Linked DNA regions of Nothobranchius furzeri. The protein of the gene in region 2 purifies or fractionates together with the protein of the main gene of each other region. This does not show direct contact. Links are inferred from orthologs where the notes say so. Each region holds a gene or a part of one and is shown on either strand. Other genes may lie near its edges.

The links.
Region 1: the proteins of cops4 (region 2) and dtl purify together in Homo sapiens (affinity purification with mass spectrometry; 3 studies listed by BioGRID). This does not show direct contact. The link is inferred for Nothobranchius furzeri from reciprocal best matches to the Homo sapiens genes COPS4 and DTL.
Region 3: the proteins of cops4 (region 2) and ddb2 purify together in Homo sapiens (affinity purification with mass spectrometry; 7 studies listed by BioGRID and IntAct, counting the BioPlex papers as one, with this or other methods). This does not show direct contact. The link is inferred for Nothobranchius furzeri from reciprocal best matches to the Homo sapiens genes COPS4 and DDB2.

Annotation. Positions count from the first base shown.
Region 1 is NC_091742.1:7,894,534-7,898,185, reverse strand, and holds part of dtl (denticleless protein homolog), read right to left. Parts: intron 420-3,652; coding exon 354-419; intron 252-353; coding exon 136-251; intron 71-135; coding exon 1-70. UniProt on the Homo sapiens protein: Substrate-specific adapter of a DCX (DDB1-CUL4-X-box) E3 ubiquitin-protein ligase complex required for cell cycle control, DNA damage response and translesion DNA synthesis.
Region 2 is NC_091746.1:62,999,928-63,003,579, reverse strand, and holds part of cops4 (COP9 signalosome complex subunit 4), read right to left. Parts: intron 1,729-3,652; coding exon 1,578-1,728; intron 1,466-1,577; coding exon 1,295-1,465; intron 84-1,294; coding exon 1-83. UniProt on the Homo sapiens protein: Component of the COP9 signalosome complex (CSN), a complex involved in various cellular and developmental processes.
Region 3 is NC_091744.1:65,534,142-65,538,284, reverse strand, and holds the start of ddb2 (DNA damage-binding protein 2), read left to right. Parts: upstream 1-1,326; 5' UTR 1,327-1,459; exon of another isoform or gene 1,460-1,560; 5' UTR 1,561-1,562; coding exon 1,563-1,695; intron 1,696-1,792; coding exon 1,793-1,905; intron 1,906-2,420; coding exon 2,421-2,612; intron 2,613-2,699; coding exon 2,700-2,896; intron 2,897-3,036; coding exon of another isoform or gene 3,037-3,203; intron 3,204-3,499; coding exon 3,500-3,599; intron 3,600-4,143.

The DNA.
Region 1 (3,652 bases), on a different chromosome or scaffold from region 2:
CAACAGCTCCTGAAGAGATGAGTGTGTGTTGATCCCGAAACAAAACCACAGTCACACTCTGCTGAGTATCCTGGGAAAACAAAGATAAGAGATTTTTGTCGTACCAGGGAAAAAAAAGATAATTCAGAAACTCACCACACTCGGAGCCATCCCACGTATGCTGCTCCGTCTCTTCTTCCACTTAGGAGGAGGATGCAACTCTGCTTTGTTGTGAGCGCCGCTGATCTGTTTGACCTGCTTGTAAAAGCCATCTGAGAACGAGACACAAATCACGAGAAACACACCAAGAACATTAATCACCCAAATGCATTTACTTGCCAACAACTGAAGCATTTGCAGCAGAAGTTCCTAACCTTTTTGGCTGCACCTTATGTCCCAGACCATAATATTTCCATCTCTTCCTCCAGTGCAGAAAACAGCTGTTTGTCAGAAGAAAATGCAACAATTATTGGATGTTGTAGGAACTATCGACGTTTCTTCACAAGATCTTCTGTAACGAATCTGAGGGAATCACCAACTGAAGACACAATTTTACTGAAAGACTTGCGAAGAGGATCCTTCATGTCCTTCACTTTGTGATCTGTCTTCTTTTGTCCAATCAGCTCTAGACACTCTACACTAATGTCTGTCCTTGATGTAGGTAAACTGCTGAGTCTTGACCTGATGAGTTGGCTCTTCTGCAATAGGCCATCCTTTTGTGTAGCTGCGGTTTCGCCGGTGTAGAACATTCATGCTACTCTCCACTTCCTACACGTAGACAATAGCCACAAAGAAAAGAACCAGGACACCTCCGCATTTCCATCTGTAGACGTTATCTTTGTATTTGAAATAAGTGACGAAAAGGCATGGATGTTATCGGTCACCAAGAAGCTACATGAATGGATAATAGAGGAGATTACGCGCTACACGACAGACCTTCAAAGTTAAAGCCTCATTGGTCCTCACACACTGGTGAAATTCATCTCCGCATTTGACCCATCCCATGGGATGTGGTGAGCTGCAGCGGTGGCTGCGCTCAGGAACTATTTGGTGGTTTAACCCCCAATCCAACCCCTTAGCAGGGAGGCGTTTGTATGACCAGACCGGGATTTGAACCGCAATCTCCCAGTTCCAGGGAGGACACTCTTCCACTAGACCACTGAGAACATATCTTTCTGCAAATACTAAAGATGTCGCGCCTGCTCTGCCCTTTCTTACAGCTTTGCTGTTGAGTCTCCAATAGAAATTGCTGTTCAGTAGAACACCAATATCCCTCCATATCTTCTTCCACAATGGAACCAGGGTTTGACATAATACATCCATCATCTTTTGCTTATCCGTGGTCGGGTCATGGGGGCAGCAGCCTGAGCAGAGACGTCCAGACTTCCCTCTCCCCAGCCACTTGGGCCAGCTCCTCCGAGGAATCCCACGACATTCCCTGGCCAGCCGAGAGACACGATAAATGACCCGCACTTGTAGAGCGCCTTTCAGAGTCAGAGGAATTAAAAGTGCTTTACATTACAGTGTAACATTCATCAATTCACACACTGGTGGTGATGAGCTAAAATGTATCTCAACTGGCTTCTCTTGATGTGGAGGAGCAGTGGCTCTACTCCGAGCCCCTCCCGGTAAACCAAGCTTCTCGCCCCATCTCTAAGAGAGCCCAGACACCGTGCAGAGAAAACTCAGTTTGGCCACTTGTATCCACAATCTCGTTCTTTTGGTCACTACCCAAAGCTTGAAGAGCACGTCACCCCTCCATTGGCTACCGTTAGCTGCACACATCAGATTCAAATTGCTAACGGTAGCATACGAAGTCCTGGATGGTACGGCTCCCATCTACTAGAATCCTCTTATAAAGGTGTACGTCGTGGCCCGGCTGCTCTGGTCATCGAATGGTCGTCACGCTCAGGACAATCCAGACTCTTCATGTGTCGTTCCACAGATGTGGAATGCCCTGCCAAGCACTACCAGAACAATCCTTTTGGTTTTAAAGAAATTCCTGAAGATCCAGATTTTCTGAGAACATCTTCCAAACTAGCACCCTCCCAACACCCGTCCTCCACTCTACTGTCCATCCTTATTCACTTCCCTTTGTGATTCATTATGCTGTCTCACTGCCACCTAGGATTGATTGATTAGTATTTATTGTTAGCCTCAAGGGCAACCTGCTGGCTTCATTATCGCTTGTAAGTCACTTTGGACAAAAGGTGTCTGCTAAATACGTAAACATAAACAAGACTGAGCGGTAAACCGGGAGCTTTGCTTTGCGGCTCAGCTCTCTCTTTACCACGACAGACCAGTGCAATGCCCAGTACAGCTGGGATTATTGACATATTCCCAGTTCTTCAAAACAACTTCAACAAATGAGGAGCAGAGTCCCCCTGGGTGCTCCCGACAACTCGTTCAGACAACATTTCGGTCTCACACCAAGGTCTGTAGTCACTGATCCAGGGGTTGTGGAGGTGTCCAACTGTGTCTTCTCAAGTTTCTTTCATATTAAAATCAGCCTGGATTGTGTTCTGGAAAAGTCAAAGAACATAACCCACAGTGCCACTCGCTTTGATCGTTGGAAGTGTGTGATGATGTCTTCAACTACAGCTGCATGATGATAATGATGTATGATGTTACTGCAACAGATGGAGATTTCTTAGGCAGGGCTTCTTCCAGAGCAATGGAACCTTCACCTGGGTCAGGCTAAGGTTGACCAATCCCACATAGGTGCTTCGGCCGTTCCTTGAGGACTTTGGATTTGAAACCATCTGGTTATGCAGCTTTAATCAAGTTTAGTGTCTCCATTTGCCTCTTCATCGAACTGCAGAAGACAGACAGGTGCCAGGAAGGAGGCAAACGGAGCCTTTCCTGATGTGGTTGACAATGATGAGGAAACCGCAGCAGCTGGAAGATAAAACGGTTGAGGTGTGTTGGGAATCTGGACGAAGGGACAGTAGATGCGTTTGGCTGGGGACCAGAGAGGAGAGCGCTGAACTGAAGCTTTTAAAGAACGAGCCAAGTTCATTCAAGCTTCAGCTTGGGAACTCCTCATCAATTCATATCTACACTTTGATTTACTCTTTACTCCACAATGATTCCATGTCTCCCTCCCTTAAGGTTCTTCTTTTAGAGTTCTTTCAGTTCACATTTGACCCAGGGTTTGTTGTTGGGGTGGCACCTCACTGTTCTTGACCTTTGGTTGATTCTTCATCACTACCTTCTCCTCATTCAGCTCCATCAATTCTGCCTTTCCCGGGATCCACTGATCACTTACTTATTCGTTTTCCTTTTCCTCACATTTTTTCATCACAAACTTTGTACTTCTCCTAATTTTATGATTTTTTTAATCTTGTGATTTTTTTTCTTGAGAAGTGCCATATAATCCTCAAAATCTCCCTGTGATCATCTCCTCACAGTTCCTCTGGTCACAGGTTGACTCTAGACAAGGGGTGTTGCACAAAGGGCAGAGAAAGACAAGATAAGGATCCACGATGCCAGGAGCTGGATGCATCCTCGACGTTGGCAAATAGCAAATCCAGCGGGTTTTTTTCCTCTGGTGGAGAAGCGGACATGCTGCTGAAATCTTGGCAGTGCAGCAGAGAGAAGCATGGTGAAAATATCCAGATAATACCACAGATGCTTTTGGGGGTTATGTCTGTAACGTAGCAACAACTGTGCT
Region 2 (3,652 bases):
GCCGGCCGCGGAAAGCGGGGGCGGAGCGGAGAGTGGAATTTTGGGGTAAGTGAGGTGCGTCACCGGAGGACAAGGTGATGCGCCTGGCTCCACAGCAGCGAAACGCATCAGGCACACATAAAAGACAGAAAACATAAAAGGAAATGAGCCGACATGGACGATCGTGTGTTAAATTTGTTTGTGAGGTGGTGGTGACACCTAATTTGATAATGTTACTGTGGCGGTGCTCAGGACGCAGATGTCTGGAGCGTGTCAACAATCAGAGCTTTGCATGCGCAAGCTGGTTAAGATTAGGATGGGGGTGAGGGGAAGGTTAAATTGCAAGAGGGTAAACGTCACAATTTGGTTAAATGTCCGTTTTACGGAGGGTGTCAGTGCCGACGCTCTGGCACAGCGCGTCCCCCCCGCCTCCCGACGCGCAGGAGCTTGTCACCTGCTGTCTTTTCCCAGGACTGCATCTTATTATCACGTGACAGCGACTAGTCGATGACAGGCATAAAAAGTCCCTACAGAGCAGTGAAGTCGACTAGACGACTAGTTCATACAACCCCTAGTTTCCACTGAACTTGTTGATCAAGTCCGACTCTGATTTGTTGGGAAGTAAAAATATTAAGACATTTTTTCTACTGGAATCACAAATAAGATGTCTGGGACAAAATCTGGGGAGATCACAAAGTTGGGATCCCCTCCAGAACTCAAGTCAGTCATGCAGCCATTGTTCACATTTTCTAGTCACAACTTATCGCAGAGCATATTAATTATGTCCCTATTTGTTCACAATTCAATCTAATTTTATTTGGAATCGCTCTATCTCCTATTTGTCACACTTTCAGACTAGCGTAAAGTTTTCCGAGATGTTCAAAATGCCAGCGACCTTAGAGTGATGCCTTGCTACTCACATGAGGAAATGGAGAACATTTACAAATGCTTTGAGGAATTTTTGGACTTTCCCTTATGAATGACTGGCTGTTTTAACTCTGAACAACCATCTATGCAATATTTTGCTTCCTGCTGATGTTCTGACAGTTTTCTAGATTTTCTAAGCACTTTGTGACCTCTGTGATGGTACAAGTACAACCAAGTGAAGCCTCCTTACGTTACTCAGACAAACAGTATTTTTTCAAACAGAGATGCCGTCCAATCAGAGTTGGGGTAATCAGCATGGGTCAAAAGAATTAAATGTCTTTTTTAAAACACCAGACTACAGACAGCAATTACAATCAGAGAGCAACAAATCACCGCTCCAGCTCGAAAACAAAGATCCAGAGATTGTTACGGCGCCATCTCTTCCTACCGTCTGCTGTGGTTGCTTTCTGGTGAGGCATCAGCATGGCAGCAAACTCCTGGAGCTGATTTCCTCTGATGATGCGGTCCAGGTACATCTTCTCCAGAATACCATAAGCAGCCAGCTGCTGACAGCGCTCATCCTTGAAGAGAGTAGCCAGCATACGAGACCTCTGTTGTCCTAAAGCACACGACATTGTGAGGAAGGAGAAGCGAAGAGCGGCTGATTAAGTTTCTCCTCCACTCATCAGGAGTATTTCTGAACACGAATAAAACCTGCAGACAGCTCGTACCTGCAGAGGCTAGTATGGTGCAGTTCAGGGCATGTTTCAGTGCCTCCAGACGTTCACTTTCATGAACAATAGACTTGTAGGACAATTCGTTGTATCGCTGAGCAGCTTCAATGAACTTCCTCCTGAAATCTAGCACTCGTGCATAACACACCTAAAAACACAAGCAGGCATGACTGCAGATGTTTAAACTTCAGGATAATCAGCTGATTCACGTGGTCGATGTCATCTCTGACTCCCACATTGGAGTATTTTAAAAAAAATCTATTTACAATCTCTGGTTACTCAATCTTCTCAGTGGCCTAGTGGCAGAGTGTCCGCACTGGGACTGGGAGATCGGGGTTTAAATCCCGGTCGGGATTTAAAAATAGGACCCAATGCCTCCCTACTTGACACTCCACTTTACGGGGTTGGATTGGGGGGTTAAACCACCAAATAGTTCCCGAGCGCAGCCACAGCTGCAGCTCACCGCTCCCCACGAGGATGGGTCAAATGCGGAGATGAATTTCACCAGTGTGTGATGAATAAATGGAACTTTAACTTTAATGAAGTGTAACCTGTTCAAGTGGTTGTTAACACGAATATCAGCCAACCACACGGCTGCAACTCAGTGGTTTTACACGTTTGTTGACGATGACTTGCTGAAGTTCAAAGGGAAACCTCGAATGAGGAAAAGAGACAGAAGTGACGTTAAACGTGGCATGATGTTGGTACCAGACAGGCTTATCTACCCACAATCTACTGGTTTACAGAAAATGTTCGACATGAGAGAAAATATCCAGTGAGGTGTGTTGTAAAGCAATTCCCCACCAGGACAACAGAGAGCGTAGAGCTTTTCTGGGGTATCGTGCCACCATTAGTCATATATCTAGTCCACGGTAGTGTATTTACTATTGTATACAGGTCCTTCTCAAAAAAATTTGCATATTGTAATAAAGTTCATTGTCTGTAAAGTACCGATAAACATTACACTTTCATATACACTGCTCACAAAAATTAAAGAAACACTTTAAAGAAACACATTAGAAACATCAGATCTCAATATGAAGTTGGATATCTATACAAATAACGACAGGGCAATGTCTTAGGAACAAAAGGATGCCAAGTCTTTTAATGGAAATAAAAGTTAGCCTACAGAGGGCTCAACTGTGTAGACACCCTAAAATCGGAGTGAAATGAAGATGTGGCAGGCTGGTCCATTATTTCAAAAACTTCATTTCTGCAACTCAAAATGCTTTTCAGTATCTTGTGTGGCCCCCACGAGCTTGTGTGCATGCTTGACGACGTCGGGGCATGCTCCTAATGAGACAACGGATGGAGTCTTGTGGCATTTCCTCCCAGATCTGTGTGAGGGCGTCCCTGAGCTCTTGTACAGTCTGAGGAGCAACCTGGCAGTGCCTAATGGACCGAAACATAATGTCCCACAGATGTTCGATTGGGTTTAAGTCAGGGGATCGTGACGGCCACTCAGTTGTTTCAATTCCTTCATCCTGCAGGTACTGCCTGCATACTCTTGCCACATGAGGCCGGGTATTGTCGTGCATTTGGAGAAAGCCAGGACCTACTGCATCAACGTAGGGTCTGACAAAAGGTTCAAGGATTTCATCTCAATACCTTATGGCAGTCAGAGCACCATAGAGATCTGTGCGTCCCTCCATGGATATGCCTCCCCAGACCATCGCTGATCCACCACCAAACCTGTCATGTTGAACGACGTTGCAGGCAGCATAACGTTCTCCTTGTCTTCTCCAGACTCTTCCACGTCTATCACAGGTGCTCAGGGTGAACCTGCTCTCGTCTGTAAAAAGTACAGGGCGCCAGTGGCAGACTTGCTAATTCTGGTGTTCTTGAACAAATGCCAGTCGAGCTCTACGGTGCTGGGCAATAAGCACAGGGCCCACTACAGAACGTCGGGCCCTCAGGCCATCTTCATGAAGTCTGCTCCTGATTGTTTGGGTAGAGACATTCACACCAGTGGCCCTTTGGAGGTCATTCTGTAGGGCACGAGCAGTGCTCAGTAGAGGTGTGAATCTTCACTTGTCTCCTGATTCGATTACGATTATTGGGTCAACGATTCA
Region 3 (4,143 bases), on a different chromosome or scaffold from region 2:
AATCTTCCGCTCACACCAGACAGCTTTTATTTTTTTTCCAACCATGTCGAAAACAACCAATAGGAGCTCATAGACATTATCACGTGTTTTTGATTACCCCTCCTCTTTCTTTGATAAACCTTTGTTGAGAAATCATATTAGAACAAGGCGAGTTTCATAAAAGATAATTAGAACGGAAAAAGTAACACAAACGACAGTCTATGAAAAAAATAAAAACAGCCAGCATAAACAGGAAGTAATGCCATTTTAAATATTACTTTTAATTCTTAAATACAATTATTGACTTATTAGTAATTAGTTTTTTTTATTGTTTCAATGAAATAACGCTTTCTGGAATCAATTATTTCACTTAAAATGTGGAAAATGGAAATGATTTAAGAAAACAGCACTTACTAATTAAAAATTGAGTCAAAAGGATTACATTGTTACCACGGTTTGATTCTTCATGTCCTGTCAGACAACAATCCTTTATCAGATCAAAAGTTGAAAGCTGAATAGATTCTCACACAACAAGAACTTTTGAAAATCTTTCCAAGAAACATTTTTGACATTGCAAAGAAAAAAGGTGTTCTACTATTTTGATATCTGGGTGAACTGATATTTATGTTGACTTGCTTTTGCAGAAAGTCGTTACAAGGGATAACTGCATACATATTTTTAAACTGAATTATTTTATTTCCTGTGAGAAAAAGAGAAAGATATCTGGATCAGATTTTCTCAAAGGAAATGTCATCATAATTTTAGAATGTTTTCTCCTCAGGGTTAATGGACATTGAAGCCAGAGTGGCCTAATTCTTATGAATTTATTGTAACATTTTTTGTATACAAAGTCATTTTGTTTATAAATATAAACATTGGTTTATATTTATATTTGTTATAAATATAAATGAGTTGGTTATTTTGGAGTAACTGCATGTATTTTCACATATTTAATTATTACAATTACAGCTAGATGAATTGCCACACTAGGTTTAGAACATTTTAATGTATATTTTCAATCAATGCTTCTGAATATTTTAATAACAAATAAATAAATGTGGCCTGAAACATGCACAACCTATTTTATCTGTGCTTATGTTTGTCAAATTGGCATAAAATAATTTTATTACAAGCCTTAAAACCTGTGATAGTGTCATTAAAATAAATCTACGATACACAAATGAATCATTAGTACAGCTAGAGCAGAAACTATATTTAAGAATGTAACATTAAATAAACACAATACAAAAGAACATTTTCGATAACTTAAGGTGACGTCACTTTGTAGTCCAACGACGACGACTCTAAACATGGCTAACGATCGTGATGTGTTTTATCCACAGTGCCACCTGCAGCCATCCAGTGGTAACGCACCCATCTTACAAAACATTTGCAGCCATTATAGTCACGTTTACAGCTGCTTATGCAAACGCCGAAGTTCCTGGTGCTGGCCTCTCTTGTAGCGTTCACCAGCGACCAGGTAAGCGGCAGCAATGAAAACTGTTTAGGCAAATCGAGGATTCGTTGTCGAGGCGATTCGTGTCTTTCATACTGTGTTGTACGCTCGATTCAACGAGGAAGACATGAAAAACAAGCCCGCCAACAAGTCGGACGCATGCGAATCAAAAAGTAAGAAGAAACGAGCTGCAAAAGACTCTGATCCAGCTGTTTGTAAAACACCACGAGACAGAAAGGATGGAGAAACATCTGATCCAGGTGTGCAGCTCTGATGATGGGACAGCTTCATTTCATTCACGCTGTCTGTACCTGAAATGTTCTGGCTTTGACAGACGAATGTGATTATATCTCACAGGGCCTCCTTGTAAGTTTTCAAGAGTCCACAGGAGGAACGGGCACCATGCGAGCATCCTGCATTATATTTACAAAAGCACCCTGGGCCAAAGCCTACACTCTCAGATGAGACAAGTAAGACATGAAGCTCAGCTTGCATCAACTCAGTTCAGGTTGTGTTCATTATGCGTGGTAAACCTCCATTTTATATAGTTTTTATGTTATTTTAGAGTGTTAAATCAGTAATTTTGTCCAATAAAACAAATATCTTCATTGAGCAATCATGGAATTTTATTCTCAGAGAGTCGAGCATGAATTGATGTACATGCCCCAAAACCAGGGCACCACCAGGTTTCTCTTTGTTCCTGGGAAGTAAAAAAGTGTATTAAAGCAATAAGAACTATAAGATAATACAATCCAGAGTAAAAATGCTGAGTGCTTCCGGTTCTTCACGCACTCTAAGGTGCATGTGTGACACATCCCCATCCCCGGTGAGGGTCTTGGTTCTTTATCTGCAGAACAGGTTCCTATATTCTGACTGATAATTAATCCAGAAGTGAATCAGAGGAGCACCAGACGTGTTTGAGCATGTATCGGTTTGTCTTGATGGAGAGAGTATGTGGTGAAAAGGTGCTCCTCGTCTCTTGCAGTGTCTCCAGGAGCCCTTCCTTCGCTCCCTGTCCTCCTACCACTTCCACGGCGCCAGCAGTCCGTTCGATCGCAGAATCACCTGTCTGGAGTGGCACCCCACCCATCCCACCACGCTGGCTGCAGCCTCTAAAGGTGGAGACATTTTCTTGTGGGACTTCAACAACCCCACGAGAAAAAGCTTTATTCAAGGGGTGAGTGTGTGCGTCGGATTGGTTTTCACCCCCATTCAGCACTGCAGCAGCTTTGGGGCTTATTAGATTGTTACGGGTGATTTCCAGGTTGTGTATGTCAGACGAGCACGAAGACACTGTTGTTGGTTTTCTGCTCAGATGGGGCCTGGAGACTCAGTTACAGACATGAAGTTTAACCAGTTAAACCCCTCTCAGCTGTTCACCTCATCCATGGGGGGTACGACAGCCCTGCGAGAGTTCAGTGGGACGACACTTACAGTTTTTGCCAGAACAGATGCACTGAAGTAAGACTTTAGAGCTCCTTATGTCTGTAAAGGTCAGAGGTCAGGCCTGTTCAGTCTAGCATCAGTCTTCTCGTCCGGTTGCCTCAGACTGAAGTGGTGGCTTCCACTTTACTGGCTTGGATCTGTGTGTGTGTGGACAGAATGGAGCGGGAGACTCTCTGGGAGGGATGAAGTTCTGTCCCATGGACTCGTCCAAGGTCTACGTGGCTTCTGGAGAGGGAACGCTGACCCTAAAGAGCTTTGAGGGGCACAAACCCACTTTGCTGTCCAGAACTCAGGACTGTGCTCACGAGCACCACAATGTCTGGTGAGAAAACCGCATAGAAGACTGATGCTAGGCAGACTCGTTTCGTCGCTTTTCTTCAAATTGGTAAAGAAGAAAATCGTTCAAAGCTAATCTGATTTAAACATCTTATTATAAAAGACATTTAGTTCACATTTGTTGTTGTAGATGTTTACAGATGTGATTGAGTGATGTTCAGGACTTAATGTCTTTAGCGTCATAGTTGAATATCTAAACGTTTCTTTATTAAAAGGTTATTTTAGAGCTTTTTGAACACATAATGAATGAAGAAAACTTGACTTGTTCATTGTGTTTCACAGCTTTTGGTACTGCTGTGTTGACGTGTCTGTGAGTCGGCAGATGCTCGTTACCGGTGATAACACAGGGCAGCTCTTACTTGTCGGACTGGATGGTCAAAAGGTAATTTATTTATTTAAATGCAATCTCTACCAATTCTTTATAGATTAGAGGTTTAAGATTTTAAATGTCTGGATTTTATTTATTTTGTCATAACTGCCCCGAAAATGTAAGCGTGGTCTTTAATAATTTTGCTTTAAAAATGAAACGGATCTGCTTGAAAGCAGCAGATAGAGAATCAGCAGATTTGCTAAGGCAGAGGTCATGAACAGTCTTGTTTTAGAGAAGGAAAAAATGCTGGAGCACCATTTCCAGGAACTAGAAGTGAGCCACATCACAGCTGAGTTTCAGACGGCAGGTTTTGAAGTCTTATTTCCTAATATTTGGACATCTCAGCTCTGACTGGCTAACAGTAACATGACAATTGACCCTTTGCACCGATGTCACCTAATCACGTGGGTCCACCATGCTGGACGGCAAAAGCATTTAAACAGTGAGCGACACGATTAGTAAACAAAGGGAAAAGTAGAGCCTGAAATTGTTTTTGCGATCAAAACAAAAACAAAACTCCTCCAGCATTCCTTCAACTAGTTCATGCCCAGTTCAG